Linked DNA regions of Canis lupus familiaris. Each later gene encodes a partner of the first gene's protein in a complex. Links are inferred from orthologs where the notes say so. Each region holds a gene or a part of one and is shown in the gene's direction. Other genes may lie near its edges.

Region 1 (10,521 bases):
ATAATTGTGACATTGGAAGTTTCAAAAAGGAAATCAGATCACACCCTGCCCCAGTTTAAAACTCTTCCATAGAACATAATAGAGAGTTCAGAAATTGGCCCCAATACACTTAGGAATAAAGATTATGACAGGAGAGACATCTCAAACAAGTTGGGAAAAGATAATACTGCAATAACTGGGTGGTTATTTGGGAAAAAGTTGTGGATTCCTGCCTTACACCTTAGACCAAAGTGACTTTGATGGCACAAGATTGAAATGTAAAGAATGAAGCCATGTAAAAACTAAAAGAAAACAGAGAATTTGTTTTCTAATATTGAATTGGAGAAGCTTTTCCTAAGAATGACATAGAACCTGGAAGCCACAAAGGAAAAGATGGATAAATTAAAATACATACAAAATAAAAGTTTGTCCATGATAATAAACAATAAACTGGAAAAATATTTACATCTCAGATGTAGGAAAAAAAGGATAAAAATTCTATAAATCAGTGAGAAAAAGCTCAACAGAAGGACCAACTGAAAAAACGGCAAATGAAATGAACAGAGAATTCACTAGAATTCCCCCCCAAAAAGGCTCATAAATATGAAAAATTGCTCAACTTCTCTCAATGAAAAGAAATGAAAAATAAAAGTGCCTCTTGGTTTTTATCTATCTGATTGGCAAAGAAAATAAGGTTTGATAACACTGAAGTTCAAGATGTGAAGAAAGAGAAATTCTCATATTTTATTGATGCGAGGGCAAATTAGTACAACTGCTATGGAGAGTACTTTGCCAATATCCATTAGAACAAAACAAAAACAAGTTCATACCTCATTTACTGGTATTCTACTTCCAGGAATTTTCCTAACATAAACTCCCACATATGCAAAATAACAAATGGACAAGTTATAGCATTATTTATAATAGGAAAGGAATGGAAACTAAGTGTTCAGAAATAGAATACTAGGCGAGTAAATTATGGCATGTCTTTATAAGCTTGTGTTTTAATTTAAAAAACTGAGGCAGGCTGCAAACGTAGAGCTCAGTCATAAGAGCACAATGTAGAAGTGTCTATAGTAAACTATCATTTGTGTAAAAAAAAAAAAAAGTCTGTATGTGTCGGACGCCTGGGTGGCTCAGTGGTTGAGCATCTGCCTTTGGCTCAGGTCATGATCCCAGGATCCTGGGATCGAGTTTCCCATCGGGCTCCCCAGAGGGAGCCTGCTTCTCCCTCTGCCTATGTCTGTGTCTCTCTCTGTGTCTCTCATGAATAAATAAAATCTTTTTTTAAAAAATCTGTACATGTAATTTGCCTGTGAATATAGCGACCACCTCTGAGAGACCTCAGAAGAGAATGATGATCGCTGTGGGGGGAACTGTGGATTGGAAAGCAGGGAGGACTTAACTTTTTCATTCTATGCTCTTTTCATATTTTTAATATCCGGTGTTCCTATATACCTGTTTTTAACCGATCAACGCAAAACACCTCTCAGTGTTTAAAATCAAGTCTAACTCACTTCCATGGTTAACTTTCCAACCTCCTCCCACGCCACATTTCCCCTACCTTCCAGGCAACTTGCTTCTCCTTCAGTTTCTGGAACATGCCAAGATCTTCCTGCCTCAGGACATCCTGCATAAGTTGTTCCTTCTGCCTAGGTTGCTGTTCTCTAGGTTCTTATCATGGGTCAGCAAATTCTTATATTTCAAGTCTTGGGTTTCATGTCCTCTCTTCAAAGAGGCCATCCCTGGCCACCCAGTCTAAAGCAGTACCCTCCCCTCACTTCCTTTACGACAATACCCTGATTTACTTCTTTCATAGCACTAGTCACTATTTGAAATTACCTTGTTTGTGTATTTTCAAAGTTATTTACTGTTTCTTTCTTGCTCAAGGGTTTGTCTCCATGAAAGCAGGGGCCCTGTCTTGTTTCTTCAGAAACCCAAATAATAAACATTTGTTGAATAAATTTATGCAACGTACACTATGGACCACACACTGTGCTGCTACAGATTTTACAAATTACAACTCTTTCAATCCTCGCAATAACTTTAATGAGGGAGATAGGTGGTTTTCTTTGTTGTTGTTGTTGTTTTTTTTTACCTATTTTACAGTTAAGGAAATTGAGTAACATCCACAACTGACAGAGCTGGAATCCCAGGCGCAGGTTCTTAGCTACAACGCGATGCTTTTTAGATATATAAACTCACGGATGAAATTGACTGATTAAACGAACTCCTGGAAATGTGAATATAAACTTTGCCTTTTTTCTTTTTTTGCGTCTCCAGATTCCCCAGATCTGCCGCAAGGGGGCGCCCTCTCCCAGGTCTTGACGCCAGTCCTCAAGGCGCGCACTCCCTTTGCGTCTCGGGCTCGCGCGCGCTGCCGCGGCACCGGAAGTGACTGAGCTTGCAAGTTCCCCCGGTCTCTTCAGGGGAAACTGAGGCCGGCTCGATCGGAAGAGACAGCGCGAGCCGTCAGCCAGGTAGGCCGGCCCGGGTCCGCGGCGCGGAACTTGGCCACGAAGAGCCCTAGCGTCTGGAAACGACCTGGCCGACGAAGGGGGAATGTGGCCCCCCACGGCTCGCGGGGCTCGCAGGTGAGAGCGCCGCCTCCCCTGTGCGTGGCAGGCGCGGCGCCCAATGGGAGCCCTCGCCGTCCCGCTTGTGTGCCGACTGGGCTCGCTGATTGGCTGCGCCGGGGCGGGCCGCCGGGGGCGAGACCCCTCCTCCCTGAAAGGGCTAGGGGGCGCCCCTGAGGGAGAGCAGTTGCCTGGCAACGGGGCGGTGGCCCGGCGGGTACCCGGCCTAGCGCGCGGGAGAAGCCGCCAGGCCGCAGCCCACCGGCCCCGGGCTCCGGAGAGGTGCAGCCCCCGGCCCCCCGGCCCCCGGCCCCCCCGCCCTCCCGGGGGCGCCAGGAAGCTGCCTTGGGCCTGTCCTCAGGAAAACGTGGTCTCAGCTGTAGGGGGGCCGCGAGCAGGCCTCAGTCCCTCTCCCTGACCCGAGGAGAGGCCTGGCGCCTCACCCTCACCCGGTCTTTGTGCAGGGCGCCGGCGGCCATTGTGTCCGTGCGGGGAATGGAGGACCCGGCAATCCCCCCCCACCGCCTCCGCGTCCAGGGCCTTTGGGGAATTCAAGGAAAACCAGCGGTGTTTCTGGGGGGTCCCCGGCCGTCAGCCTCCCGGAAAGGCCCGAGGATGGCCTTTCCGAAGTCAGACCGCAGATCCGAGGCAGCTCCCCCCTCCCTCTGCCCCTTCTCGAAACCTTGAGCCCCATTGAGAAGTCCCTTCAGGGTTTCGGAAGCCTTACCCCGAGCTGGCACTTAAATAGAAACAACAACAACAAAAAACCTACAGCCCACACCAGCCACCTCCGGGAGAGTTCTCCTGGCTCCCAGTAGGAGGCGGAGAGCCAAGGGGCGTGCAAGAGCGAGGGGGCTGGGCTCCCGGGTGGCAGGAGGCCGCTGCCGAGTGGCCGCCCTCGATCCGGGCGATGGAGGAGGAAGCAAGCGAGGGGGCCGGTTCCTGAGCTTCGTAATTCCTGTGTCGCCTTCTGGGCTCTCAGCCTGCCGGGTCGCATGATCCCTCCAGCCGGAGCTCCTTTTTTTGCCAGCCGCCGTGAGGCCGGCTGAGTTGCCGGCATCCCGGCTGCCACCTCTTCTCCCGACCTATGGTACAAAAGATCTTCCGGGGGTTGCACCTGCCTGCGGTTGCCTGAGACGGATTTAAATGTAGGTGGTGCGGAGGTGGGGGTGGGGGCAGACTGTCCGTGGGGGTGACTTTCTGAGGAAGGCGTTTCAGAGAAAAGGGGGTGGTGAGGTACAAAAAAAAAAAAAAAAAAAAGCCGGTGTGGTGATTCAGAAAGAGCCCACGGGTGCTTTCAATTTGACTTCATTGAAGTCTTTTGGACGCTAGACCCAGACCTTCCTAAGAACCACAAAGAAACCAGTTCTGGTACCTGGAAGGGGAATGGAATATTGTAGGTTAAATGGCATGCATATTAATTTTTTTTTTTCCTGAAGCTCTTTCTCTCCCACCAGAACCTTATCTTGGCTTTGGATCTCAGAAGAGAACCACTAAGCAGAGACCAGACTCAGTGAGTGAGCAGGTGTTTTGGACAATGGACTGGTCGAGCCCATCCCTATTATAAAAATGTCTCAGAGCAACCGGGAGCTGGTGGTTGACTTTCTCTCCTACAAGCTTTCCCAGAAAGGATACAGCTGGAGTCAGTTTAGTGATGTGGAAGAGAACAGAACTGAGGCCCCAGAAGGGACTGAATCAGAGATGGAGACCCCCAGTGCCATCAATGGCAACCCATCCTGGCACTTGGCAGACAGCCCTGCGGTGAATGGAGCCACTGGCCACAGCAGCAGCTTGGATGCCCGGGAGGTGATCCCCATGGCAGCGGTGAAACAAGCGCTGAGGGAGGCTGGGGATGAGTTTGAACTGAGGTACCGGCGGGCATTCAGTGACCTGACATCCCAGCTTCACATCACCCCAGGGACAGCATATCAGAGCTTTGAGCAGGTAGTGAATGAACTCTTCCGGGATGGGGTGAACTGGGGTCGCATTGTGGCCTTTTTCTCCTTCGGTGGGGCACTGTGCGTGGAGAGCGTAGACAAGGAGATGCAGGTATTGGTGAGTCGGATCGCAGCTTGGATGGCCACTTACCTGAATGACCACCTAGAGCCTTGGATCCAGGAGAACGGCGGCTGGGTAAGGACCACGCCCCTTGTGTATACTACCTTTCCCTCAGCCTCTGATCGAAGAGATCTCCAATAGCCTTCTCACCCATATCTCTTTCTGTTGTGCTGGGTGGTTATTGGAGACTGCTTGTTAAGGAGAGGTGACCTCCCTGCACCACAAGAGGTTAACTGTTCTCAAACACGGGTAACCTAGTCTTGAAAGGACCAAGCATCTTTCATCCTGGTCACTCTCATGACCCCACTCTTTCATAATTGTGTTCCAGTTTCTCAGCAGAGGAAAACATAGCCTGTGTGTTTATTTGGCCCCAAATCTTTGCGAGTGGGAGGTTATTCTAGTGTTCCCCCACAGCCTGACAAAATGGCTCACCACAAAAAGGGCTGATGAGTGTAATACCTCTGAGCCCCTTCATTCTTACTCCCCCAGGGATGTCAATCTTATCCTGGGCTTCCTTCCCTCCCACAAATTAAGTTCCGTTTATTTCAGAGTTTGCATATACATGTTCCTCTTGTCTCAGACGCATACATATTCGTCTCCTCTCAGAATGGGGCATGGCCAGGCAGAAGTTCCTATAGTGGCTTGGATGGCTGAGGATTGTCAGATTTTAGGGCAGTGGTAAGCTGTGCCAGTGGGCTTGTTGCGTTTGTGCTGCACTCCTCTGTTCATTTGCTCTAAAGTGTGCAAACTTTCTGTATGGTTGGCCTGTTTGTGGAGCTCTTGCTGTGTCACGCAGTAAGCCTGGGGACTTTGCACCTCACTGCCTGGGGTCGGTTGGAGAGCTCTAGCTGTTCTGCCTGTTCTTTCCGGCCAGGGCCCTAGGGCCTCTTCACGAGCACTGTTGGCTGGCAAAGCAAGAACCTGGTCTGTGGGGGCTCTTTGGGATATTGAGATTCAGTGACAGACTTCAGAAACAAACTGACATAGGTTTGAGTTTCAGCCCTGTCACTCACCCAGCTGTGCGACCTTGGACAGGCCACTTTACCTTGAGCCTCTCAGTTTCTTACACTAAAAAAAAATGGGGCAGAGTGTTGTAAATCCTGGAGCTAATGAGAGCAGTGACTGGCACCAGCAAGTTTCTGTAGTAGTTATTGGTTCCAGACACACTTTGTGGGCCTAGGAGTCATGCCCTCATTCCTCTCCTCCCCAATGGAGAATTCTCTTGCCCAACACCAACTTAGGAGCAGATAGTGGTGAGAAGTTCTTTAGGAGTGCTCATTGTAGGCAATTTTTGCCCTACAGTGAACTCAATCCTCATTTCCTTGCTTATCTCCTTGCCTAGGGGAGATGCAGGGCTTGTGGGGGGTATTCGGCCCCCTCAGAACACCCAGAAAATTGAGCAGGCTGTGGAAAATAAGTCATCTATTGAAGGAGCTGAGGTGGAAGGGCCCAAGTACTACAGATTCAGGAATGTCAAGAATGCAAATTATCCATAGGCTGGGCCTAGGGCGTGGCACTTCAGTTTACCTCTGAGCCAGAGACCGCCTAGTTTGCCCTTCCCCCTGTCTTATTTCCCATTTCTTTGCAACTTCATTAACTCTTCCTGCTGCCAGTTCTTGTAAAACACAAAGGGGTCAAGTCAATAGAGGTCAGATGACTGGGGTGGGGTTGGGGGAGGTAAAGGTGGAGAGCTCTAGAGCTAAGGCTGACCAGACTTGAAAGCCATTCTGTAAATGAACTCCCTGGGGGGATAAATGATTAAATAGTTCCTGTTGGTTTGTGTGATGACCTCGCCTGTTCCCTCCTGCTTTGATTCTCTTTGGGGGCAAATATTTGTTCAGCTGATTACAGGAGAGACAGGATTCCAGCACTTCAGACAAAGCCTCTGAGGCATCTCCTAGTAGAGACTTGGGCCTTGTGCCCACCTTGCCTGACTATTGTCTTTGGCCAGGGGTGCTAATACCAGGTGGGTTGTTGCCAGCTATTAACAAGAGGCAGTCTGGGAGAGGTGCCTATTCTATCGACCAGCCTCTGCAGAGGACTACCTGGATCAGAGAATTGCCGGTCACCCAGTACTGTATATACGGAAAGAAGTTTTAGACAGCAGCACAGGGAAAGTTCACTAGATCACCCCTGGATTGAAATTCCATCTTCTGTCTCTGCTCAAGAATTTTCAGAGCCCGTTAGGCAACATACCATATGTACTTCCTCTTGGTGAACAGGGGATGTGTGCAGAAGAGCCAGTTATGTCAGCACCATTTCTGGGCACTCATGCTCCCTGAGGCCAGGAGGTAAAGAACATTTAAGTAGAGATCCTTTGGATGGAAGCTACCCACTCACTTCCCTTTCTCGTACCATCCTGTTTGAGCTGCACAGGCTGGCTACCGCAGTAGCCATCTCAAAACCTTCTTGGAGGCTGTGGTGAATCCATGAGGGTACGACTTACGGGCCATTACCACGCTGGGATGTGCTCTAAATTTAGCATCCCTACAGAAAAGTGGAAGGAAATGAGCCTTTATAAAGTGCATCCTATGTATGAGGCATTGTCTTGAGTCTTTTACTTATGCAGCCAGAACGTGCTGATCATCTATTATGAGGCAGGCACTGTGCTGGATGCTGGCAGTTAGCTGCACATGATACCTTCCCTCATGGAAATGACATGCTATTTCACATATCTCACACAATAACTTTTCAAGGTAGGTAGGTTTATTCCCAGTTTACATGTGAAGCCCCTGATAGCTCAATGACTGGCTCCGGGTATCCTTCAGCCAGTTAAGTGACTGAGTGAGAATTTTCACCTAGGTCAGTCAGCCTGACTCTGAAGTCTTTTCCATCCGTATCAGGTTGTTCTAGGAGTAATAAATTGACCCGGATATCCTGGCACAAAAAGGCAGAAATGCTGTTGGGCCAAACAAAACATGCTTGTGGAGGTGCTCACTCTGGTCTGTGATCCTGACATTATTCAGGTAGCTGCAGGTAGAACGGTGCCTTTGTTGGCAGGAGCATATTCCCAAAGGAATGTGTATAGCCTCAGATTCTGACATTGGTAAAACTCGAGTAGGAATCAGGGTTTTGCCTAGTCAGAGTGGCCTTCTTGTTAATTCTTAATTGTTAAACCCTCTCAGGCTCTGCCAATAGATAAGAATCATGTGCATGTGGAGAGAAGGTGGCCTGCTTCAGATATATCTACTTAATTATGGGTGAGCTCCAAGGACTGGAATTCCACATGTAGCCACACCACTGCCTGCTTGAAGTCACCTGGCAAGATGCTGAACCTGTTTGTCTCTCTTGTCCATCCATCTCTTCTACATGTAAAATAGAATAATGTCAGCCACCTGCCATAGCTTGACTCTAGTAAAGAATCTAGAACAAAAGCCCTTCCTGGGCCATAATTGTAGGGTGGAAGCACCTCGTTTAGTGAGTAGGTCATCTGCCTCAGAAAACTGAACTCTGGCCCCATAGTTTCTCAAGAAACAAAGCCAACTCCTAAGATACTCATCTAGAATGGAACCTGATGTGACCTATATAGGGACAGAGCGTTTTGGGAGCTTTCCAATGGGAATGTGGACAGTTTTAAGGTGAGGACCTAGGTGGGCTAGGCCATTTTGGAATTGCTGTCCCTGGGAAACCCCTTAGCTCGATTGAAAACCATTGTCAAGAGCGATGAACAGTCTGTGGAGAGAGGAAAAATAATTTGGCCTTTCCGAGGCTGCATGGCTCTGTGGTCTTGTAGTTTCTGTAGGTTTCTTGCCTATTCTGGCTTCTTTGGCATGGCTGTATGCTGTCTGAAGCACCTCAGTGACCTTTACAGATCTCAGCAGCTGTTGGCAATTCTGTGGTTTTCTTGGGGAAACCCCATTAGAAACCCCAAACGTGGAAATTTTTAGTAATCTCATTCAGGTCCCAAAGTGAGGTAGAAATGTCTCAGGGACTCCACCTCAAAACACCCAATTCTTCTGGATGTATATTTGAGGTTGCTCTTGAAACTCTGTCACTATCACAGGATTTTCCAGACTTCCTGGGACTAATTTCCCCAGTGGCCCTGTAGAGCCCTTCAACTTCTGGAAGAAAATTACCCAGGTGTTTTTTCAAGGGGTCCCAACAGAACCCAGAAAGTTTTCTTGACTTTTGTGTGGGCAGTCACCAGATTTGTCTGGGCTGCAGGAAGCAGCAGTTGTTAGCTGTCCTTTCCCCAGCAGGTATCTGTCCTGAAGTCATCATTTTCCAACATCCTTAGCCTTCTATCACGGGGCTCACTTTCAGAACCATGATCTTGTCTGGGTTTGGCAGGGATAGATTTAGGGGTAATTCCTAGTGAGCTTCTCTTCAACCGAAGTATAATCTTCTACTACCTCCATTAGCAGGGCCTTGTCCCTACCCCGACCCTAAGTCCACAGAGTTCTCCCTAGGGACTTCCTCTCTTTTCTTTGAAGGAGTCACTCTGCTCCTGGAGCAGCTTCTTTTCTTCCTTCCAGCCGACAGTCTGTCTTCCCCCTTCCCAGTTGACAGACCTGAGTCAGACAGTAGACAGTTCCACTGGGTCATTTTGTTTAACCCAGGGAAGAGAAGACTCCAGAAAATTTATCACCAGTGTCAAATGCCTGGAGGAAGAGGGGTTACACCATTTTTATTGGTAGAGTACCCAACAGAACTTGGATAAATGAAAGGATAATAACTGGTAGCATGAAATTAGTGTAAAGACATTTCTCACACTGTTGTCTCTCTACCACATTTAGGAGTTTCCTGAAGGTGGAGTCCACATCTTGTCCACACTTTTCCTCAGTACTGAGCAGGTCTTGGGCATAGCAGGTACTCAATAGAAAGAGATGGTCCACCAAATCTCTGAAGAAACAAATGGTTACCAAAACAGAATAATAGTCATGGGAATTTTCACTGATCTGATCATTCAGTCATTGATTCAAAGAGTATTTATTGAGCTCCTGTGTCCAGGCTGTCCTAGGTACTAGGGAGACTGTCTTAAATAAAATTAAGTTTCTCTTCTTGTGGAAGCTCACAATCTGGTTGGGGAGAAACAGATAATAAACATTTAATTACATACATATAACATAGCACGTGATAAGCGCTATGAAGAAAATAAAGCAGATCGAGGTATAGGGCATGCCTTGCAAGGGAGGTGGGGCTACAGTTTCAAGAGTGGTTAGGGAAGGGTGCCTGCGTGGCTCAGTCAGTTAAGTGTTCTGCCTTCAGTTCAGGTCATGATCCTAGGCTCCTGGGATTGAGTCCCAAGTCACGATCCCTGCTCAGTGGGGAATCTGCTTCTCCCTTTCCTCTGCCCCTCCCCTCTGCTTGTCCGTGCTTTTACTCTCTCTCAAATAAATAAAATCTTTTTTTTTTTTAATTTTTTTTTTTTTTTAAATTTATGATAGTCACAGAGAGAGAGAGAGAGGCAGAGACACAGGCAGAGGGAGAAGCAGGCTCCATGCACCGGGAGCCTGACGTGGGATTCGATCCCGGGTCTCCAGGATCGCGCCCTGGGCCAAAGGCAGGCGCCAAACCGCTGCGCCACCCAGGGATCCCTCAAATAAATAAAATCTTAAAAAAAAAAAAAGTGGTTAGGGAAGGCATCACCAAAAGGTAGAGTTTGAGCCAAGACCTGAAGAATGTGACTAAAGAAGAAATAGCAAGAGGGAAAGTGGTTGGGATTGAGAGGGAAGAGGTGGCCAAAGGTCACATCGTATAGGGCATTACTAAGGCCATGATGAAGACTTGGCTGTGGTTGAATGAGAGAGAGGCCAGGAGAAAGTTTGGAGCAGGGGTGAAGTGATCTGAATTCTGCCCTTGCAAGAGCAGCAAGCCAGGAACTGGTGACGAGACTGGTGCAACTGGCACATGAAAACAAAGATCCTAGTCTGGATCAGGAGGTGGAGGTGGAAGTAGTGAGAAAGGG
Region 2 (10,230 bases), on another chromosome or scaffold:
AGAAATATGTCTTATGTTCAGATCCAGTACTCATATACATGTGTAAATCTAAAACCTAAGTTTCATGAAACAATATTCACCTTTACTACACGTGATTCTATCTTCTTCTCATTGTCATTTTTAATTAAGTTGATCACTATTCACCAAGTTGTTTCCCAGTTCTCTGAAAAGCACTGTTATACTAGGTCTTGGATTTATGCTGAATCCTATTAACTGAGATGGGATTTGACTTAATTAAGAGAAATGAAACTTTATTTCATCCATTCATTTATCAACAATTATTGGGTCAAGCCCTGTTCTGACTCCTGAGGTACAGCAATTAACAAAGACCCCTACTCATAGAGTTTATATCATAGGGCTCTGCTGTCCAATAAAAGTTACTAGCCAAGGATATTTAAATTAATTAAATAGAAGTAAATAATTCCATTGCCACACTAGCCACATTTCAGATACTAACTACTTGGGGCCTAGTGGCTACTGTATTAGAGCACATACTGAACATTTCCATTATCAAAGCTCTTTTCAACAGCTCTGCTCTGAAGGAAAGAATTAAGTAAACTACATTTTCTGTAACTTAAGTAAACACAACTTTCAAGCCTTCACTGCAACTAGCTGCATCCATGTAATTGCTCAATATGATTGTAGCCAGGACACAGGGGTGCAAGAGCACCTGCCTCTGAGATTCCCAAACAGACCAAGTTCAACCACTTGCCGCTGACAAAGTCCAAAGGCAGAGAGATGAGTGGTGGTGAAAGAAGAAAGTTTATTTCAGTGAGGCCAACACTGGGAAGACAGAGGAGTAGGGGTTCAAAGACCATCTCCAAAAGGTTGAAAATACTTCCAGGTATGTATAAGGGAAATGTGGGGCAAAGGTGGGTGGGTAAGTGCTGGTGGGCAGTGAAGGAAGGTTTAAATCCATCATAGTCTTAAGAGTCTATCATGGGTGGTGACTTGCTGGCTCAGGGCAGTCCTTATTGCTTCAGGGGGTAGTTCTGATTCTCATCAGGGGATGCTTTGCCTTCAGGCTCTTCCACCTGAGCCAAGGGAAAAGCTGGAAAGAACCCCACTAGAAAGTTTGAGGTCAAAATGGAGGCCAACGAAGTCCTCTTTCAGGACTTCTAGAATTGCTCCTTAGGAGGGAAACACAGTTGGAATATACTTTTGTTGTTCCCCTTTTCTTGCAGCTTGCGAGGTGGATGTGATGGCTGGAGTTCCAGCTCTGTTGCAGGCCATATCGGTGGTGAAGAAAGGAAAATCCTAGGCCTCTGACGCCCATGATGTCACCACACGTGTCTGGACTGCAGATTCCTGAATTTCTTTTATACAAGAGAATCAATAAACCCTTACGTGTTTAAGCCACCGTAAGCAACCCTGAACTGATAAAAGGGTGAACCCTTCTGAGGTACTTTTTTCATGTGAGGACTTGAGTTAAGAGGCCAGAAGACAATGTCTTTGAGACCTCTTTAACTTCAAGAGATCCCAAATCATATTCAGCTGTAAAATTTAGGACAACCTTAGGTTTTGTTAGAAATCACTGAACAAAAAAAAAAAAAAAAAAAAAAAAAAAAAAAGAAATCACTGAACAAATCATTGTAAGAAAATGTTATAAAAAATTTCAGCGGTGTCTGGGTGGCTCAGTTGGTTAAGAACCTGACTATCTCAGCTCAGGTCATAATCTCAGGGTTGAGTTCAAGCCTCTCTTTGGGTTCTACCCTGGGTGGGGAGCCTACTTAAAAAAACATTCAAATGATGCCAAAGTAAAAGCTAATTAGTTAAAGACCAAATCCTGGGATCCCTGGGTGGCGCAGCGGTTTGGCGCCTGCCTTTGGCCCAGAGCGCGATCCTGGAGATCCGGGATCGAATCCCACATCAGGCTCCCGGTGCATGGAGCCTGCCTCTCTCTCTCTCTCGCTCTCTCTGTGACTATCATAAATGAATAAAAAATTTTAAAAAAGACCAAATCCTTCCAATTTTGTTAGTGACTTGTAATTATTTATGAATAATTTTCCCTATTTGTAGTACTTGTGTTCTAAGTAGGCATTTTCAGATTTGGTGCAGATTTTTAATTTTTTTAAAAAACGTTTTATTTATTCGTTTGAAAGAGAAAGTGAGAGCTTGAGCATGGGAGTGAGGCAGAGGGAGAAGCAGATTCCTCACTGAGCCAGGAGCCCAACTCAGGGCTTGATCGCAAGAATATAGACCTCATGCCCTGAGCCACCCAGGTGCCCCGGCACAGATTTTTTTTAAGATTTTATCTACTAATTCATGAGAGACACACAGAGAGAGGCAGAGACACAGGCAGAGGGAGAAGCAGGCTCCCTGCGGGGACCCCGACCTGAGCCAAAGGCAGATGCTCAGATGGGGTGTTCGGTGCAGCTCCAGGTCACATCTTTTTGGGGAGGGCACATTTTGACTCCTCCTTCATCTCAATTCACTGTTCTGGGTTCTGCTCTTTTCGAGTTGCTCTCTGTGCAGAATGCTTCATTACTGGATTTACGGGGGGGGGGGGGGAGGGGAGTTGATATAGAATTGCCTGATTTCTTTGATGTACCAGAACAAAAGTTTCTGTGAGGGGGACGCCTGGGGCGCTCAGGGGCTTACTGGATTTACGGGGGGGGGGGGGGGAGGGGAGTTGATATAGAATTGCCTGATTTCTTTGATGTACCAGAACAAAAGTTTCTGTGAGGGGGACGCCTGGGGCGCTCAGGGGCTGAGCGTCTGCTTTAGGCATGACTCCGGGGTCCCGGGATGGAGTCCCGCATCGGGCTCCCTGCATGGAGCCTGCTTGTCCCTGTGTCTCTGCCTCTCTCTGGGTCTCTCATGAATAAATAAATAAAATCTTTAAAAAAATAGATAGATAAATAGATAGATAGATAGATAGATAGATAGATAGATGATAGAGTGGAAAAGTGGACATTTGGGTGGCTCCATGGTTGAGCGTCTGCCTTCGGCCCAGTGTGTGACCCCGGGGTCCCAGGATCAAGTCCCATGTCGGGCTCCCCGCATGGAGCCTGCTTCTCCCTCTGCCTGTGCCTCTCCCTCTCTCTCTCATGAATAAATACAATCTTGAAAAAAAAGAAAAAAAATTTGTGTGAAAAATTGTGTAAAAAATCTGGTTTTAACTTGCTCACGATTGGGAGCTCCGTACAAAACCCGGTGCCACGGACCTTGCAGGGCATAAAAGTATCTGTAGAATTTAACGAGCTCTCCGGTTTCCCACCAAAACGGAAACAAAACGGCTTCCTTGAGCGTTTGCTCCGAACCGGACACCTGGACGTGAAGTCCCCCCAGTTCCGTCCGACTCTGTGGCAGCTGGGCTATCCCTTCGAGGTCATCTTCGAGGTCATCGTCGACGGACGCTAGAGCTCTTTTTTTTTTCTTTCTTCGCTCGGAGGACAGGGTCCAAGGCCAAGCGCAAAAAGGGACGGGCAGGCTCCGCAGCGGCGTCCCCGACGGGCCGCGGCCTCCTCACGCGGAAGCCCGCCGGGAGCCCCTCCCCCTCCCCGCCGGCGGGGCCACCGCAGCCGCACGGGGCGCCCCGAAACCGCGGCCGGGCAGGGAGCCTCCCCCCGCCGAGGGCCTGGAGCGAGGCCGACTGCCCCGCGCCCCACCCCCTCCCCGCGGACGGCCTCGCTCCACCCTCTCCCCGGGCCCCGACCTTCCGTAAACGCCAAGTCCTCCACGGCGGCTCGCTTGTGTTCCCGGGAACGGGCGGGCGCGGAGGCCTGAAGGGCCGCCATCCTCCTCGAAGCCGCAGCAGGCTCGGCACCTCCGCGGGGCGGGGAGGCCGGGACGCGGGAAGCCGCGGGAAGCCGCGGGAAGCCGCGGGCGCGGCGGAGGGCGCCATTGTGTCCCCGCGGCCAAGTCCCCGGATGCTCGCCGCGGCCCCGCCCCCCGCGCGGCCGTGCGTGCCACGTCACCGCGCGCGGCGCTTCCGGAGGCGCCGCGGGCGATGACGTAGGGGGACGTGCCCTCTATATGAGGTTGGGGAGCGGCTGAGTCGGCCTTTTCCGCCCGCTCCCCCCTCCCCCCGAGTGCCGCTCCGGCTGCCGCGCGCTCGCCCCGAGCTCCCGGCTCCTGCCAAGCCCGCGCCGCCGCCGCCCGTCTCCAGCCGTCGTCATGATCATCTACCGGGACCTCATCAGCCGTGAGTCGTGGCTGCACCCGCCGTGCCGCCGCGCGCAGGGGCCCGGGGGAGGCCGCGCGGGGGGCGGGAGCGGGGAGGCCGCGCGGGCCTGGAGGACGCCGGCCCCTCTCCGGGGCGAGGAGGGGTCGGGCCCGGGTGGGGGCCGGGGGCTCGGGCGCGCGGGAGCGGCGGGCGCGGCGGGAGCAGCCGGGCCCGCGCGGGCGATGGCGGCGCGGGTCCCCGAGCCCCGGGCGCGCGGTGACGGGCGGGCCTGTGTCCCCGAGCAGATGACGAGATGTTCTCCGACATCTACAAGATCCGGGAGATCGCGGACGGGCTGTGCCTGGAGGTGGAGGGGAAGGTGAGTCGGGCGGCGGAGGCGGCGGCGGCGGCGGCGGCGAGGCCGGGCGGGCTCGGGTTTCCGCCGCTCGCTCCCCCGCCCGCGGTTGTGCAATCCTCTCCGCTGCCTCCTGGCGGAGGGGACGCTCTCTTCCGGGCTCTCGGGTTTTTCTAGAAAAGTGGAGGCGGAGCTGAGCCTGGAAATAGGTCCCCGCCGCCTGGCGCCCATCCTCCTCCCGGGCGGCCGGCCTTGCCGCGCACCCTCCACCGGGGTGTGAAGGGCCCTGCCGCCCTTCTGGCCCAACAAAGAATCCTTGTTGAGTCTCGGTGTTGGAGGAATTTCGAGGGGCGTGAGCGTTTTATTTTATTTTATTTTTCTCTTTCTCTACGACGCCGTCTTCGTGGGTTTTAGCAAGAGTCCGAAGTGTTGGGTGGGAGGAGGATTGTGTGAACTGCTGACCTAGAAGATCTAGTGGGGAATGCCTTTATGCAAAGGTCCAAAACGTCTGAAACCGGACTTTTTTTTTTCTTTTCTCCTCCTCCTCTCCTTAATGTTTTTTTTCTTTTCTCCTCCTCCTCTCCTTAATGTAGATGGTCAGTAGGACAGAGGGTAACATTGACGACTCGCTCATTGGTGGAAATGCCTCCGCGGAAGGCCCGGAGGGCGAAGGTACCGAAAGCACAGTAATCACCGGTGTTGATATTGTCATGAACCATCACTTGCAGGAAACCAGCTTCACAAAAGAAGCCTACAAGAAGTACATCAAAGATTACATGAAATCGTAAGTGGTCCTGGCGCAGCCCACCCTAAGGTCAGCCCTGCGGGATTTGGGGATAAGGTAACCTGGAGGTTCTTTAGCAGCAGGCATGCTTGGGAAAGGCTTTCTTGTTGATGAGCTCACAGACTGATGCCTTCCTATAAATAAACTAATGTGAGCATACCGCAGCTGGAAGTGTGGTTTTAGCTCTTCAGAAGTACTTTGGGAATAACTTGAAACCCTAAATTGTCAAGACTTGAAACTTTCATTCCTGTGAGCTAGTAGTTTCTTGATTGTGCCATGTGAATTTTTGCCCGGTGACAGCCAGCTGCCCTTTTCAGCGCTTGTTTGTTTGTTTTTTTTTTTTTTTTTTTTTTTACTGAAAAAATTTGTTTTGCTGAGAACTGAGTACTTTAACCTGTCAATAAAATACTGTTTTAGAATCAAAGGCAAACTTGAAGAACAGAGGCCAGAAAGAGTAAAGCCCTTTATGACAGGGGCTGCAGAACAAATCAAGCACATCCTTGCTAATTTCAAAAACTACCAGGTAAATACTATAAATGTTTCTCAGAATTGTGCAATTGTAACTGCCAGAGCAACAAATGACTTGATAAGTCGCTGATGTAACGGGATTATTTTCTGGGTCTTCTGAGCAGTTTAAATACTTCATAGATTCCTTTCCAGTAGTCTTCACTGTGGAAAGTGGCCTTTCCTGCTCCCAAGTGTGTTTCTAGATCTTGCCTGCTGATTGTAGAACCTCATCCCTACTACTCTCCAGATGACAGGTTTCATTTCTCCCGGTCTAGAATTGCTTGGTAACCTCCTGTCTTTTTATTTACAACTCCAGTCTCATTGCCCCTGGAGTTCTTTCTACACTTCTGTTGGGAAACTCAGTGACTCTCCCTTGGCGCTTTATAGAACTTAAAGAAAAAAACTCCTTACAGCCTGGCTCTTTGACTTTCCAGCTTTCACAAGTCCTCTGGCCAGAAGATAACTTTCCTCCTATAACCTGCTCTCTCGCTGTTTGATGACATAAACAGGCTTTTTAACAGAGTTGGAATTGTATATGTGGGGTTGAGAGAGTGTTTCCAGAAAGCCTGAAGTGTTCTGGATTGCTCTGTACTCTGGTCAATTGTTAGTGTTCTCATTTGGTGAACAGAGGTTTGAGTAGTAGTTTTTTTTTCCTTTTTTTTCTTGTGAAAATCTCTTAAATTGTGTTTTGAATCCTTTGTTTTACTGTAGATTGTTTTGATACGATCTGTATATAATGGCCTAATTCTGGGTGTTTGTTGTTTGCTCCCTAAGTTCTTTATTGGTGAAAACATGAATCCAGATGGCATGGTTGCACTCCTGGACTACCGTGAGGACGGTGTGACCCCTTATATGATTTTCTTTAAGGATGGTTTAGAAATGGAAAAATGTGTAAGTATAAGGAAGTGGGTTGAAATCAGTAATGTAAAAGTGGAGACATCTTCTGTGTGACTGTCTCTTGCTGTTGGGTAGTTAGAATGGGTTTTACAGCAGTCTCCACAATGTAGGTCCAACTCTGGTTTCTCTTTGGGAGTCTAAAAGGGTTGTGTTTTGCATACAAGATTTTTACGGCACAGAAAAGGCATTTAGAAATACAGAAAGCTTTTCATGTAGATGGCTTAAATCCCAGCTTATGTACTAAACTGGAGATAAACTGCATTCTGTTTTTTTTTCCCCCCATAGAAAGTCTTTCTCTTCGTATTTTGCCACGCATACGTGCGTGAGTGGCATGTATGGCGCTAGGCCTTTTTCACTTTGGTTTACTGATGATTGGCAACTGGTCACTGGAAGCCTTGATGTTACTAACTTTTAGTAAATAAAGTTAGAGCTGGCTGCTTATCCAGTATGCAGAATCCTTTAGTACAATTAAATGAATGTCTACTATGCAAGGAATTATTGGAGGCCGTACAGAAATGAGAGCATTCATTATTCTAGCTTTCAGAGGCTTCCATATAAATTAGGAACAAGATAAACTTGAGGCTACCCTAAATAAGAGAAGAGGCCTCAGCGGACAAAAATGTCTTCAGATTGCATGAGCTGCTACGGAAAGTATTCCAGGAATATCTGCGGGTTTTGTTGGTAGAACAAAAAGTATGTGTGTGAGTGGGACTTGCTTCAGAATGAGATTTTTTAGAAAATGTGCCACCCCTGCTTTGGTGAGGATAGTCCTGCATCCACTGATAGACCTTGAACAATTGGCTGTTGTTCTTTTGGTTTGCACTAGGATGCAAGAGAAAAAAATCCCTGCGCTTTCTGTCTGTCCCTGTGGCAGCCCAGATTGAATAGGGGAGTACATCGGTGGCGTGGAAGGGTTAACTGTTTTCATACTGGATCAAAGTGGATTAATACCCTGTCTTGTTTCTACAGTAACGAACTTGGCTGTTAACTTTGGATGTATCACCTGTTGTCCTAACTGGCTGCTGCTCTTCATCCACACAACACCAGGACTTAGACAAATGGGACTGATGTCATCTTGAGCTCTTTATTTTGACCTTGATTTATTTGGAGCGGAGGCATTGTTTTTAAGAAAAAAACATGTCATGTAGGTTGTCTAAAAATAAAATGCATTTAAACTCATTTGAGAGAATGCCTCTTAGTTTAACACATTTTTAAATCCATTCTGTGTAGTGTCCTGAAGAAGCTAGAGCCTGGTTGTAGACTACTGCTAGAAAGCATAAGACTGCCTGCAGATAACTTCTACAGTGAAAGCTACTTCTGGGACTGGAATATAAAAAACAAGAACCAAAAGTCTTAATTCTGAGTTCAAGTAAAGGGAAAGACCATGCTCATAGCTGGGCCAACATTTGAAGTGGATTCCTTACACATTTCATCACCTACAAACGGAAGTAGTTAACTCTGGAAGAGATTGCCAAAAGAATAAAAAGAGACTAATAACAGTTGGAAGCAAAGTATTGTCTGATCTTATTTATCTTAAGTAGAGCCAAGTTCTAGAGAAATCTAGACATCTCCTGGAATGCTTGTGTCAAACTATCTGGAATGGGGCTGGCAAACTGGCTTGTCCCGCCACTTGTTGGGTGACTTTTAAGGTGTTTATATTTTTTAAATGGAAAAAAATAGCTGGTGGGATATGAAAAGTACGAAGACTTAAAATTTGTATCTGGTTTTTTTTTGAACATTGCCATGCTCCTAAGAGCAGGGTAGGACAGACCTTAAGGCCTACATAGTCTAAAACAACCATGTGACTCCTTAGAAGGTTTGTCAGCCGTGCTTTAAAAGATGAAGTTGTAGATGGAATGTGGGATAGCTGGTTGTGTCCTGTTGTATCTGAAAGGGCTATGGGTGTCTGAAGGAGAATAAGGAAAATGCATCCATGTGACAGACCTAGAGCAGTTTCTATCTGCCTCTAAGGTTTCTGCTAGAGATGCAAGAAAAAGGTATCCTCGCGCTTTCTAGCTGCCTGACGGTGGCAGTTGAGATTGAATGGGGGAGTACAGGGAAAAAAACTGCAGCTCAGGAGTGACTTGGTTAACAATGAAGATCTTGTTTACTAAAAGGATCTAAAATTGGAGTTTACAAGAAGTGTTGGAAGATGGCTTCCCAGATCCTTGCCTTTTAATTCCATTCTTAAGAGCTTAAGGGTTAAAACTAAATTGAAGGCAAGCCAGTGACTCATCTCCTAAGACATGTGAACTTGGGCAAATCCAGTGATTTAGCTGTCTGGAATTTGCCCTAGAGGTTTGGGAGTCCATCATGTGGGTCACAGCCTGAGACACTAAGGTTGATGGTGCCCCCTGGTGATTAGTGGAAGCAAACTCAAATACTGGAAACTAGTCAAGTAGGTGGCAATTTTAAGCATTCTGACCTGACCTTAAAATACAGAAAAAGTGCCAGTTGCTGACCCAGGAGACCAGTCAGCCCTCTCTGAAATGGGAGAATTTTTGGGCCGCGGTCAGTGTTGTGATCCTGAACACCTGATTACAGGAGAGGTCTGACCGGAGTAGAGAGTTAGCTATGGAAAGGGACAGGAGTAGTGGGGCAGAGGCTCTGTAGGAAGTGAAGGATCCAAGTCTACCCAGCCATATTTTCAGTCGTTACAGGTAAGAGTCTGGTTAAGCTGCTTTGAGCAAGAGTTAACAGGAGATGTGTACACATCACAAGGCCTGTCCTTTAGGTCTATTGGTTCTAAGATTGATATTTAGTGTCTTTCAAGCCCTAGGCTTTGTTAGGTGTGTGGAGAGGAATTGTAAAGGGACTTTAATAGTCTGGGAAGGCCTTTGTGATAGGATTTGAATAGGAGCTTGAAAGCAAGTAAGGCTATGTGGCTATTTGAGGGCAGAACGTTCCAAGCAAAGAATAGCAAATGCAGAATCTGAAGTGGAGTGTGCGCTTGACCTGTTCTAGGGAGAAGGTGGCCAGTTTGCTGGACCCACGATGGCGAGAGAAAGTAAGAAGTGAGTATCCAGGGAAAGAGGAAACCAAGTCCCGTAGGAAGGCCACAGGGGCAGAAGGGACATCTGACCTGATGAATTAGATAAGCAGTTGAGTATTTCACTTGGGAGGATAGCGGAGAAATCTAAAGATTTAAAGAGCTACTGGAAAAATCTCAATGTAAGATAACTTGAAGCCAAAACCCTGGGTGAGATCTAGGAAGCACAGACTCCTCCCGCTGACAGAGCTGGAGATTGGTCACCATGATGACCAACTGGCAAAGTGACCCCGAGAACGTGTCCCTGAGGTAGAATCCAGGGAGGGGTCTGGAAGTCGAGTGGACAGTGTTTCAGAGTTATCTCTTGCAGACTAGTCAAGATAAGGACCAAGAAGGTGAACTTGACGAATGTTTGAATAGTAGAGGAAGAAAGCCTGATTGAAATGGGCTCAGCAGGACAACCCCAGGCAGCACACTGCCTGTGAAATGTCAATCCACTTGACCCTTGAGCAACATGGGTTTTAACTGATTTTTTTTTTTGAACTGAATTTTTTTTACAGTACTGTAAATGTATTTTTTTCTCTAGTTTT
Region 3 (9,639 bases), on another chromosome or scaffold:
AGAGAGGCAGAGACATAGGCAGAGGGAAAAGCAGGGAGCCCGATGTGGAACTGGATCCCGGGACTCAAGGATCACGCCCTGAGCCAAAGGCAGATACTCAACTGCTGAAACAACGAGATGTCCTGAGTTGTTTAATTTTTAATTTTTTTTTTAATTTTAGAAGGGAGAAAGAAAACAGCCCGTCTATAAGCTGATGGGAGTAATCCAGGAGCCAGGAAACTACCCAATGAGGCAGGAGAGAAGGGAGACTAGCTAGAGAGATGTCTTTGAGTAGGGGAGGGGTCTGGTGCCTGGGGAGGGCTAGCTCAGCTAAACGCCGGAAGGTGGACATAGCTGCGTGGTCTTGGGTAGATACTTTATGGGAAGTAGTAGAAGTTTCTCTTGTGGGTGCTTCCGGGTTCTCCAGGAGAGGGTTGAAGGAGAAAGGATCAGGTTTGAAGTAGTCGAGCATCCCCAAACATAGAGCATGTGAAGTGTACTGGGCAATGTCAAGGGTGCAACTGGGTTTTATGGTCTTTCTTTTCTTTCTTTTTTTCTTTTCTTTTCTTTTCTTTTTTTTCTTTCTTTCATTTCACTTTATCTGTTCATGAGAGACAGAGAGAGAGAGGCAGAGGGAAAAGCAGGCTCCTTGGAGGGTGGGACTGGATTCCCCAGACAAACGGGATCATGCCCTGAGCCAAAGGCGGATGCTCCACTGCTGAGCCACCCAGGCATCCCTATGGCCATGAATTTCAGTGGTGGCTGCATGGTTGTGCTTTTCTCCAGCCACACTGGCTACCAGGGGCCTGTGGGGGCCAGCAGGGAGTTAGAGTTTAACCAGAGCTGTGCCTGTCTCAGCCTAGCTGGGAAGAGGTGCCTGCAAGGGAGGGAATGGTTGGTGTGGGGTGTCAGTTTGCTCTGGAACTTCTGGCATCACTAGAGTGGGCTACCAAGGCAGGGAGCCAGCCAGGTAGGGGTGTAAGGCTTGGGATAGAATTACCGAAGGTTCTGTCCCTGCAACTGAGAGTGAGGGCAGGACTAGAGAAGGCAGGGCAAGGAAGGAGAGGTTGGGAAGGGGAAGGACCACTTGGGTCCTGTGAATGAATGAGGATATGTGGTGATGGAGAGAGCAGCAGGGATTGGATGGAAGAAGTTCCTGCACCAGGGGGTGTGTGGCCTGGATAAGGACCGAGGAGGAGGGAGTGAGAATAGTCTGAAGCAGTGATAAGGACACCTCCCCTAGCTCCAGACCCTTCAATGAGGAGGGCTGCAAGGAAAAGAAAGTGCGAAGACAGCACAGGTGTTCTTAAACTTTGTTTTCAATACCTAAAAAGCAAGTGATTTTCCCATAAAAATCAACAAGTGCAAATGGCCTGCCAGAGCCACAAAGCCACTGCCCCCTCCAGACGGGCAGAGTCCTGTCACACTTCATACCCCCTGGCCCCTGGGTCTTGTGGGCCTGGACTGTCAGCATCCCCAGGGCAGAGACTGAGCTACCTTCTGTGCTGTGACAGGCCCTGCACATAGCCCAGTGCCAGGGACAGGCAGGTATGTGGTGAGCTGTGTGTGTGGATGGATGGTAGAGAGGGAAGGAGGAATGCCCAGTAGGTGAGGCCACAGGGTTCAAACACCACACTACCCTCTATTAGCAGTTTGAGCTTGAGCAGGCTAGTTAACTCTGTCTGCGTCAGTTTTCTTATCTGTAAAATGAGAATAGAACTAGTTCTCCCTTCTAGGTTGTAGGGAGGATCTGATCAATTAATATAGGAAAAATGTTGGGATCCCTGGGTGGCACAGTGGTTTGGTGCCTGCCTTTGGCCCAGGGCGCGATCCTGGAGACCCAGGATCGAACCCCACGTCGGGCTCCTGGTGCATGGAGCCTGCTTCTCCCTCTGCCTCTGCCTCTCTCTCTCTCTCTCTGTGTGACTATAAATAAATAAAAATTTAAAAAAAATAAATGTTTAAAAAAAATAGGAAAAATGCTTAGAAACAGTGCCTGGTCCAGAGGAATCTCTCTTCTTACTATTACTGTGATTGTTGCTGTTATTGTTACTATGAGTTGGCCTAGGCGCTGAGCAGAGTTGAGGACTGCCATTCTTTCAGTGGAGGTAGACGTGAATAACCTATGCCCTCCTGATGATGGACAAGTAAAGTATAAGTTAGAACCAGAAGATAAAGGCCTTGAAAGACACACTAAGGAGTTTGGACTTCACCTCCTCGGCAATTGGGAGCCACTGAAGGTTTTAGGAAGGGGACAGACACAGTTGGGTTTAGAGCAGGGGTTGGCAAACCATAGCCACAGCTAAATCCCTATTTTTTTTTCAGCCCATGAGCTAAGAATGGTTTTGACAGGGCAGCCCCGGTGGCTTAGTGGTTAGTGCCGCCATCAGCCCGGGGTGTGATCCTGGAGACCCGGGATCAAGTCCTGCATCGGGCTCCCCACATGGAGACATGGAGCCTGCTTCTCCTTCTGCCTGTGTCTCTGCCTCTCTCTCTGTGGGTCTCTCATGAATAAGTAAAATCTTAAAAAAAAAAAAAAAAAAAAAAAAAAAAGAATGGTTTTAACATTTTTAAAATTTTAGTGGAATATAGCAACACAGTTAATTATATATTGTTTATGGCTTCTTTCAAGCTATGACCAGCAAAGAGTAGGGCACTTTTAAAAGCTCAGTTTACACAAATGATTGTCATTTTGATGATGGCTCGGTTGGCATTGCTAAATCCATGGCTTTGGTGAAAATACCCTACCCTACCCCATTTGATAGGCTCCTGATAGAGTGGGCACTCACCAAAGGCCCAGAGGTGCCTTCCCCCAGACTGCACCCCCAAGGTGGTCCAAGGTGTTGCTGTTGGGAACCTGGGGCATGAGCATTAAGCACACAGACCCTAGAGCCAACCTGGCTGGGTTTGGATCCCAGCTCTGCCACTTACTGGCTGTGTGACATTGGGGAAGGTACTTACCCTCTCTGTGCCTTAGTTTTCTCCTATAAAATGGGGACAGTGAGGAACCTTTCTCATGGGGTGTGATGGAGATGTAATGAATTGATTCAGGTGAAGCACTTTGAACTTGACATGGCAAGTATTCTTCTGCTGGTTCTGATTCCTAGGCAAGGAGGTGGTACCCAGACCAAGTGGCCACCTGCAAGTCACTCATTTTCTGACTCTTGGACCTTGTGTCTGTCAAGTGTGGTGGTTGTGTGCCTTATTAAAAACTAGTAAAGGAGAATAGCTGACATTCCTCGAGCACTTAAGTGGCCAGGAGGGTGTGCCAGCTGCAGGACCTCTGGCAATTCCTAACCTCTAGGTGCCTCCATTTCTTCATCTGTAATATAGGGAGAACTTAGCAGCTACCTCACTGGGAAGCTGGGAGGCTTCGGGATGTAAAAGCGGCAGAACCTGGTGCTCTCCTTGTCTCATCTGTTCTTGGATGTCCTGGGAGATAGGAACTGCCCCCATTTCATAGAGGAAGATACCGAGGCCCCAAAAGGTTGGGAGAGGGCCCAAGGTGGGGCACCTGGGGGTCTCAGTCAGTTGAGGGTCTACCTTCAGTTCAGGTCATGATCCCAGGATCCTGCTTTTAGTATATGTGCTGCCGAAGTGAGCACGATCCCAGGGTCCTGGGATAGAGCCCCACATCGGGCTCCTTGCTCAGCAGGGAGTCTGCTTCCCTCTCTCCCTCTGCTCTTCTCAGTCACCTCCATGCTCCCCTCTCTCTTAAATAATTTTTTTAAAATCCTAAAAAAAAAAAAAAAAAAAGAGGAAGAAAATGGCCCAAGGTCACAGAAATCTGGTTGAGGTGGGACCCTTGCGTCTGCCCACACCCTCACCCTCCATAGAATTGGAAAGTGCTCTGTAGATGGGCCTGTTCTTATCAGGGGTCTTTCTATTCCTGACTCTCAGGCAGTATTCCCAATCCTGATTTCTGAGTTAGCTGCCTGTTCTCCACTTCCACCTCACTTCTCAAAGGCTGTATGGTGTTCCTTCCTGACATCAGGCCTGGACTTGGGTGAAGCTCAGAACAGCCAGGAGCTCTGACCACTCTCTTAATCTAGACCTTTCTGAATCGAGTACTCTCTTCACATCTTAGCTTTCTTTTTTCTTTTTTTATTTCTTTTTTTTTATTTTTATTTATTTATGATAGTCACACATGGTGGGAGAGAGAGAGAGAGAGAGAGAGAGGCAGAGACATAGGCAGAGGGAGAAGCAGGCTCCATGCACCGGGAGCCCGACGTGGGATTCGATCCCGGGTCTCCAGGATCGCGCCCTGGGCCAAAGGCAGGCGCCAAACCGCTGCACCACCCAGGGATCCCCACATTTTAGCTTTCTTAGCCACGGATCTTTCTTAGCCCCTGAAAGTGACCTGTAGGGCTTTGTGTAAGGTCCTTTGGGAGAGAATGAGACACTTGTCCCCTGGCCTCAGAGCCTGGCCTAAATCCAACTTCCTCCAAAATGCCTTCCCTGACAGATGGGCTTTGCCAGGGACCCCCAGCATGTTGCCGTGTGTTTGTTCCATGCTGTCAGTCTGTCTGTCTTTTTTAAGATTGTATTTATTGTATTCATGAGCGTTACACAGAGAGAGAGAGGCAGAGACACAGGCAGAGGGAGAAGTAGGCTCCCTGCAAGGAACCTGATGTAGGACTCGATCCTGGGACTCCGGGATCACACCCTGAACCAAAGGCAGGTGCTCAGCTGCTGAGCCCATGCTGTGTTTCACGCTGTTATGTAGCTCTGGGTTCTTGCTCCTGGGAGTGGTTCTAGGTCTTTGTTGGTCTGGATTTGGGGGTGGGATTGGCAGGAGTGGAAGGATGGCACACAGTACAGAGGTCAGAACACAGGAGAGGTGACTGTGAATGACAACTTATCATGTACTTTCAACTCTCAGAGCACTTTCACATACTTCATGTGACCTCTACACAGCCACTGGTAGTAGGGGATAGGTCTCTCCCCACACAGAGGTGAGCACACTGGTTCAGAGTTGAAGGGTGGTAGCTCAATGGCTAATTACTGGACTCGGGAGTCCAAGAAACTTCTAGGGAGTTCCAGCCTGAGAGCTTCACATTGTGTGACCTTGGACAAGTCTCATTTCTCTAAGTCTCTGTCTTATCGTCTATAAAATGGAAGCAATATTAGTACTCCTTAAGATGGTTAGGAGCATAATGAGGTAATTCCGAGGGCTGGCACATAGTAAGTGCTCCATAATCATTACCTTAAAAAGTCAACAGACAGGGGCACCTGGGTGACTTAAAGTGTCACCTTTGGCTCTGATCATGTTCCCAGGGTCCTGGGATAGGGCCACATTGGGTTCTCTGCTTAACAGGGAGCCTGCTTCTCGCTCTCCCTGTTGCTCCCCCTGCTTGTGTTCTCTGTCAAATAAGTAAATAAAATATTAAGGGAAAAAAAAATTAATAGACCCTTCCAGACTCAATCTCCAAAGTGGGTGTTCTGGGAGGTACAGACATGCTGCAGACAGGTGCTTGTTCTCCAGGGACCCAAGGTCTCCCTAGGCCACAACAGTGAAATAGATGGGCCCCCCGCAGATCACTTGCCCAGCTAAGAGTTCAGCCCTGCCTGGGGCCAGAGACCTCATCCAGGGAGTGCCCCGGGGCCCTGTGGTGTTGCACTGATAATTATACTACTTATGGCCTTATTTTGTGGCAGGCACAGAGGCAGGTCATTTGATACTCTAAGGGCCTGGCCCACTGTTGGGGCTCAATTAAGATTTGTGGGATTACTGAGAAGTTAATTCGAATCTTCACAAAAGCCCCAGGAGCTTCCCTCGCTTTACATATGAAGGAACTGAACTGGGGCTCCAGGTACCCCTGAAGGTACTGTGCACACAGAGCCATCAGCGAGAGGGAGCTGCCCGGAAGGCTTTGGCAAGGCTGGGGGCGCAAAGGAGTAGAGACTCATGTCGCCCCCGTCCCCCGTGCAGGCGCTGGGGCTGAGACCCGGAGTCGCCACAGCTCGTTCCCCGCGGGGACCGACGAGGATGAAGGAATGGAGGAAGAAGAGCTCAGCCCTTTCCGGGGGCGCTCGAGCTCAGCGCCCCCCAACCTCTGCGCGGCACGGCGCTACGGCCGCGAGCTCCGCAGGATGAGCGACGAGTTCCAGGGCTCCTTCAAGGTGAGCGCCGGCCCCCAAAGCATGTCGGGAACTGTAGTTCCGGGGCCGCTCCTCTCCGTCGGCCCTGACCCTGAGTCCCAGGGCCTGCCGGTATCTGTAGTCCACACCGTGCGTCAGAACGTTAAAGGTCCCGAGTTCCCCAGATCCTCGCGGCGCGGAGCGCGCTGGCATTTGTGCTCCCGGGCAGTCCCTTTCAGATATCCGGGTTCTTTGGCTTCAACAACTTCAGAATTCCTCAGTTCTTGGACTGCCGTCCCGGCTTCCAGAGGCTGGGTCTCGGGCTCTTCCGGGGTCCTGGCGTTCTCTCCCCGCGCCCCTGGCACAGTGTGTCTGGGACCTAATCAGTCCCGTTCCTAAGGGCCCAAATGATCCTTCGAGGCTCCTCAAGTGGACAGGAGGCCCCTCGGTGCAGGGCATGCTGGGAGCTACGGTCTTTAGGTCGGCCGGCCGGCGTCTCACTTAGCGGCGGGGTCCCGGAGGAGGAGGGCTCCGACTCGCGCTGCCAGAACAAGCTAACTCATTTAACCCTTTCCTCCTCCCACCCCGAAGGGACTTCCTCGCCCGAAGAGCGCGGGGACAGCGACGCAGATGCGACAAAGCCCCAGCTGGACGCGCGTCATCCAGTCCTGGTGGGATCGGAACTTGGGGAGAGGAGGCTCCGCCCCGTCCCAGTGACCCGTCCCGCGTCCCGAAACTCTCCCCTTCTCTCGGCGCCGCCGGCGGCCATCTTGGGTGTGGGCGGAAGTCTTTCCCGCAGGCTTGATGTAAGAAAGAGGTTCAGTTCTTTCCTTCTCGAAGGAGGCGATCTGACCCAAAGCCGATCCCCTTCCGGTGTGCACCAGGAGCACGGAGGGGTTTGGCCCCGTCGGAAGTTTTGAAGTTTACGCGCCCTTGGCGGCCGGAAGTGGCCCCGTGCCCCCGCCCCGGCCCCCGCCCGGGCTGCCCCGAGCGTCTGCGCCAAGTTGCGGGGCAGGAAAACCCTAACTTCTCCAGAGCCCTTTCCTCCGCGGCGTCGCTGCGGGCTGTCACTCGCTACGAAATGTGCTAATAAAGCCCGCGTTTGTGCCGCCGAGGCTCCTCTCTCTGTCGCCTGGGGCCTCGCAACCCTGAGAGCGTCCTCGCTTTACACGTGAGGGAAACCGAGGCTCCTCCTGAGCGGCTTCTCCTGGAACCGAGCCCGGGGAGGGGTCGGGGCGGCGAGCAGAGTGGCTGCTCGGCCTCCGGAAAGGGAAAGCGGCGCGGCGCGGGGCCGCGGGGCCCCAGGGCCTTATCTCATGTGGTAATTGGGACCTGCAGGCCGGCCGGCCGGAATTCCGCGCTCGGCAAACCGTGCCGCGGCCCCCCAGGGAGGGTCAGTTGTTCCTATTTGGGTCACTCCTTCCAAACAGCTACTGTGTGGCCGGCCTGGGGCCAGCTCTATTCAGGGAGCTGGCAGGACTTGCAGGGGGCGGGGCGGGGGGGGGAGGCTGGGCCCTGGGCTGGGACTGGACGGTCACTAGGGAACTGAGAAGCTTCACCAGGACCTGGGAGCAGAGCTGGGAGCAGAGCTGAATCCCAGAAACATTTATTGGAGCCCCCTATAGACCAGCCGGCGCCCTGCACTGGGTGTACAGAGACGAATTCCACGCAGCTCCGCTGGCCGCTGTCTGGAGCTTCCTGGGGGGGGGGAGCCCGCCCCTCGGAGTGGAGTTTCCGCCAGCTGAGGGCTGTAACAAGGACTGAGAACCGGGAGAGGGCGGCTCCCTCGGGCAGGGGAAAGGGAAAGTCAGGGAGGGCTTCAGGGAGGAGGTGAGTTAACACTGGGACTTGGAGAGAGGGGGGAAGGAGCGGAGGCCAGGATTATGAGGGGGCTAGAATGTCATACCTGGGAGTTTGGAGTTTAGCCTGGCCTGTAAGGACCCAGGGACTGATCTGGGCTGTTTCTGTAGGTAGAGGTAAGCCACACCAGGAATATAGGTCTTAGCCAAGGGGCCTGGCCACGGAATCGAATCGGAATCGAGTAGGCCCCTCTGGGGACAGGACCAGGCCTGACCACAGAAACAGGCAGGGCCTAGGCACTGGTATTAACCCCCAGGGAGCAGGGCAAAGAGGAGAGGCCCCCAGCCCTGGGAAGGACCTGCTCTGGAAGCCCTTTCTCGGTCATATCCCCACCCTGTTTGCCTGAGGCTATAACAAAAACAAAGAACACTCGATTGGCAGGAGATAAGCCCAGATAAGAGGCTGCCTTCCTCTGGAGGAGGGAGGCAGTCAGCCTGGGAAGCGCCAGGAAGCTGGGAGAGGCCTTGAAGAAATGCCAGCCTGGCCCTGCCTCAGAACCTAGCCGCACCGCGTCCGCATCCTCGCTGTGGGGTCTCTGCCACTCGCTGTCCGGCAGCAGGAGGGAGAAGCATGGAGCAGGTGCTCCCTTGCTGGCCGAAGACAGTCTGTCATAGAGGGTCCAGGCCCGCCCTGCCTCCAGGTCAGGACATCTTGACTTAGCTGTGGCCCCGCACACGTGACTTCTGCTCTGGGCCTCAGTTTCCTCATCTGTAAAACAGGCATAACATCTCCCTCATAGGGATGAGGGGGGATTCTGGTTCTCCCAGACCCTGTGAGCGTCTGTGACTGTCAGCTTCCCTTCTCACCCATTCCCCACCTATTGTATCACCAAGAGCCCGGGTCCCCTGATGTTGGGCAGGTTCTGAGTTGACCAGGTCCATCCCTGATTAGAGTCAACTGCCTGTGAGGGGCCCAGGGCAGCCTCAGCGGAAGATGTTGGGTTCTTGGGTCATATCAGGCGACAGGAAGGGGGGGCAGGGAAGGCTTCCTGAAGCAGAGGCCTGAGCCTCTGAAGGGAGAACAAGAAGAGCCCAGGAGGGAGAAAAGTAATGGAAGCAGGGTATGTGGCAAGAAGGATGAGCCATGGTTGGAGGGCATAAAGGCAGGAAAGCCTAGGGGAGGCCACAGGGACTCTGATGGCATGTCATTGGGAAGATCTGCAGGATGCAGGCAAGGAGGTCTCAAGGACCTCAACCCCACAGTGCCCACCAGCCCATTTTATAGATGAGAAAACCAAAGCCCCAGGAGGGTGGCGAGCCGGGTCCAGGTCCCCCACAGAACTGCTGCCCCCCGCCAACCACACTGCACACAGGTTCCCTGAAATCCACTTTTATTCATATAAAAAAAATTTCCAAAGGATAGAGAAAGCATGTGACCCCCACCCTACTTCCCAGAGCTCAAAATCTCTGCCAGTGTTCCCTGGGGAAGTGAGGGAGAGAGCTCCCACTCTGGGGCAGGGGTCTCATGGGGGCAAAAGCCTTGTGGCCCACAGTGGCCCAGTGCCTTCCTCAGGACCAAAGACAGGAAGGAGGGCCTGGGGACTCCTGGCCCCAGGAAGGTGAAGGGAGGGAGTTAGTGTGGGGTGCTTGCCCCAGTTTAAAAAAATAAAATTTCTAAAGATAAAAAGTTAAAAAAAAAAAAAAAGCATTAGTGTCTTAGCTTCCTGCCCTCCCAGCACCCATCCTGTGGCCACCTCTTGCTCAGCCAGTTCAGAGCTTC

Evidence for each region.
Region 2: the proteins of BCL2L1 (region 1) and TPT1 are in contact, whole or in part, in a crystal structure (PDB 4Z9V), measured with the Homo sapiens proteins. The link is inferred for Canis lupus familiaris from reciprocal best matches to the Homo sapiens genes BCL2L1 and TPT1. Residues at the interface, in NP_001304848.1 of Homo sapiens: Ala93, Glu96, Phe97, Arg100, Tyr101, Ala104, Phe105, Leu108, Gln111, Ser122, Gln125, Val126, Glu129, Leu130, Asp133, Asn136, Gly138, Arg139, Val141, Ala142, Phe146, Leu194, Tyr195, Ala199, Ala200, Ser203; in NP_003286.1 of Homo sapiens: Phe14, Asp16, Ile17, Lys19, Ile20, Arg21, Ile23, Ala24, Asp25, Gly26, Leu27, Cys28, Leu29.
Region 3: the proteins of BCL2L1 (region 1) and BAD are in contact, whole or in part, in a crystal structure (PDB 2BZW), measured with the Mus musculus proteins. The link is inferred for Canis lupus familiaris from reciprocal best matches to the Homo sapiens genes BCL2L1 and BAD. Residues at the interface, in NP_001276645.1 of Mus musculus: Ala93, Glu96, Phe97, Arg100, Tyr101, Arg103, Ala104, Phe105, Leu108, Gln111, Leu112, Gln121, Ser122, Gln125, Val126, Glu129, Leu130, Arg132, Asp133, Asn136, Trp137, Gly138, Arg139, Val141, Ala142, Phe146, Asp193, Leu194, Tyr195, Gly196; in NP_031548.1 of Mus musculus: Ala137, Leu141, Ala143, Ala144, Gln145, Tyr147, Gly148, Arg149, Leu151, Arg152, Met154, Ser155, Asp156, Glu157, Phe158, Glu159, Phe162, Lys163.

Annotation. Positions count from the first base shown.
Region 1 is NC_049245.1:21,690,082-21,700,602, reverse strand, and holds the start of BCL2L1 (bcl-2-like protein 1), read left to right. Parts: upstream 1-3,720; 5' UTR 3,721-4,124; coding exon 4,125-4,688; intron 4,689-10,521. UniProt on the Homo sapiens protein: Potent inhibitor of cell death. Inhibits activation of caspases. Appears to regulate cell death by blocking the voltage-dependent anion channel (VDAC) by binding to it and preventing the release of the caspase activator, CYC1, from the mitochondrial membrane.
Region 2 is NC_049243.1:5,675,723-5,685,952, forward strand, and holds TPT1 (translationally-controlled tumor protein), read left to right. Parts: upstream 1-3,970; 5' UTR 3,971-4,119; coding exon 4,120-4,147; intron 4,148-4,413; coding exon 4,414-4,487; intron 4,488-5,056; coding exon 5,057-5,247; intron 5,248-5,664; coding exon 5,665-5,770; intron 5,771-6,528; coding exon 6,529-6,645; intron 6,646-7,421; exon of another isoform or gene 7,422-7,551; intron 7,552-7,620; coding exon 7,621-7,623; 3' UTR 7,624-7,835; downstream 7,836-10,230. UniProt on the Homo sapiens protein: Involved in calcium binding and microtubule stabilization. Acts as a negative regulator of TSC22D1-mediated apoptosis, via interaction with and destabilization of TSC22D1 protein.
Region 3 is NC_049239.1:53,292,111-53,301,749, forward strand, and holds the end of BAD (bcl2-associated agonist of cell death), read left to right. Parts: intron 1-5,911; coding exon 5,912-6,102; intron 6,103-6,651; coding exon 6,652-6,777; 3' UTR 6,778-6,791; downstream 6,792-9,639. Other genes in the region: PLCB3 (1-phosphatidylinositol 4,5-bisphosphate phosphodiesterase beta-3), read right to left, coding at 9,630-9,639. UniProt on the Homo sapiens protein: Promotes cell death. Successfully competes for the binding to Bcl-X(L), Bcl-2 and Bcl-W, thereby affecting the level of heterodimerization of these proteins with BAX. Can reverse the death repressor activity of Bcl-X(L), but not that of Bcl-2.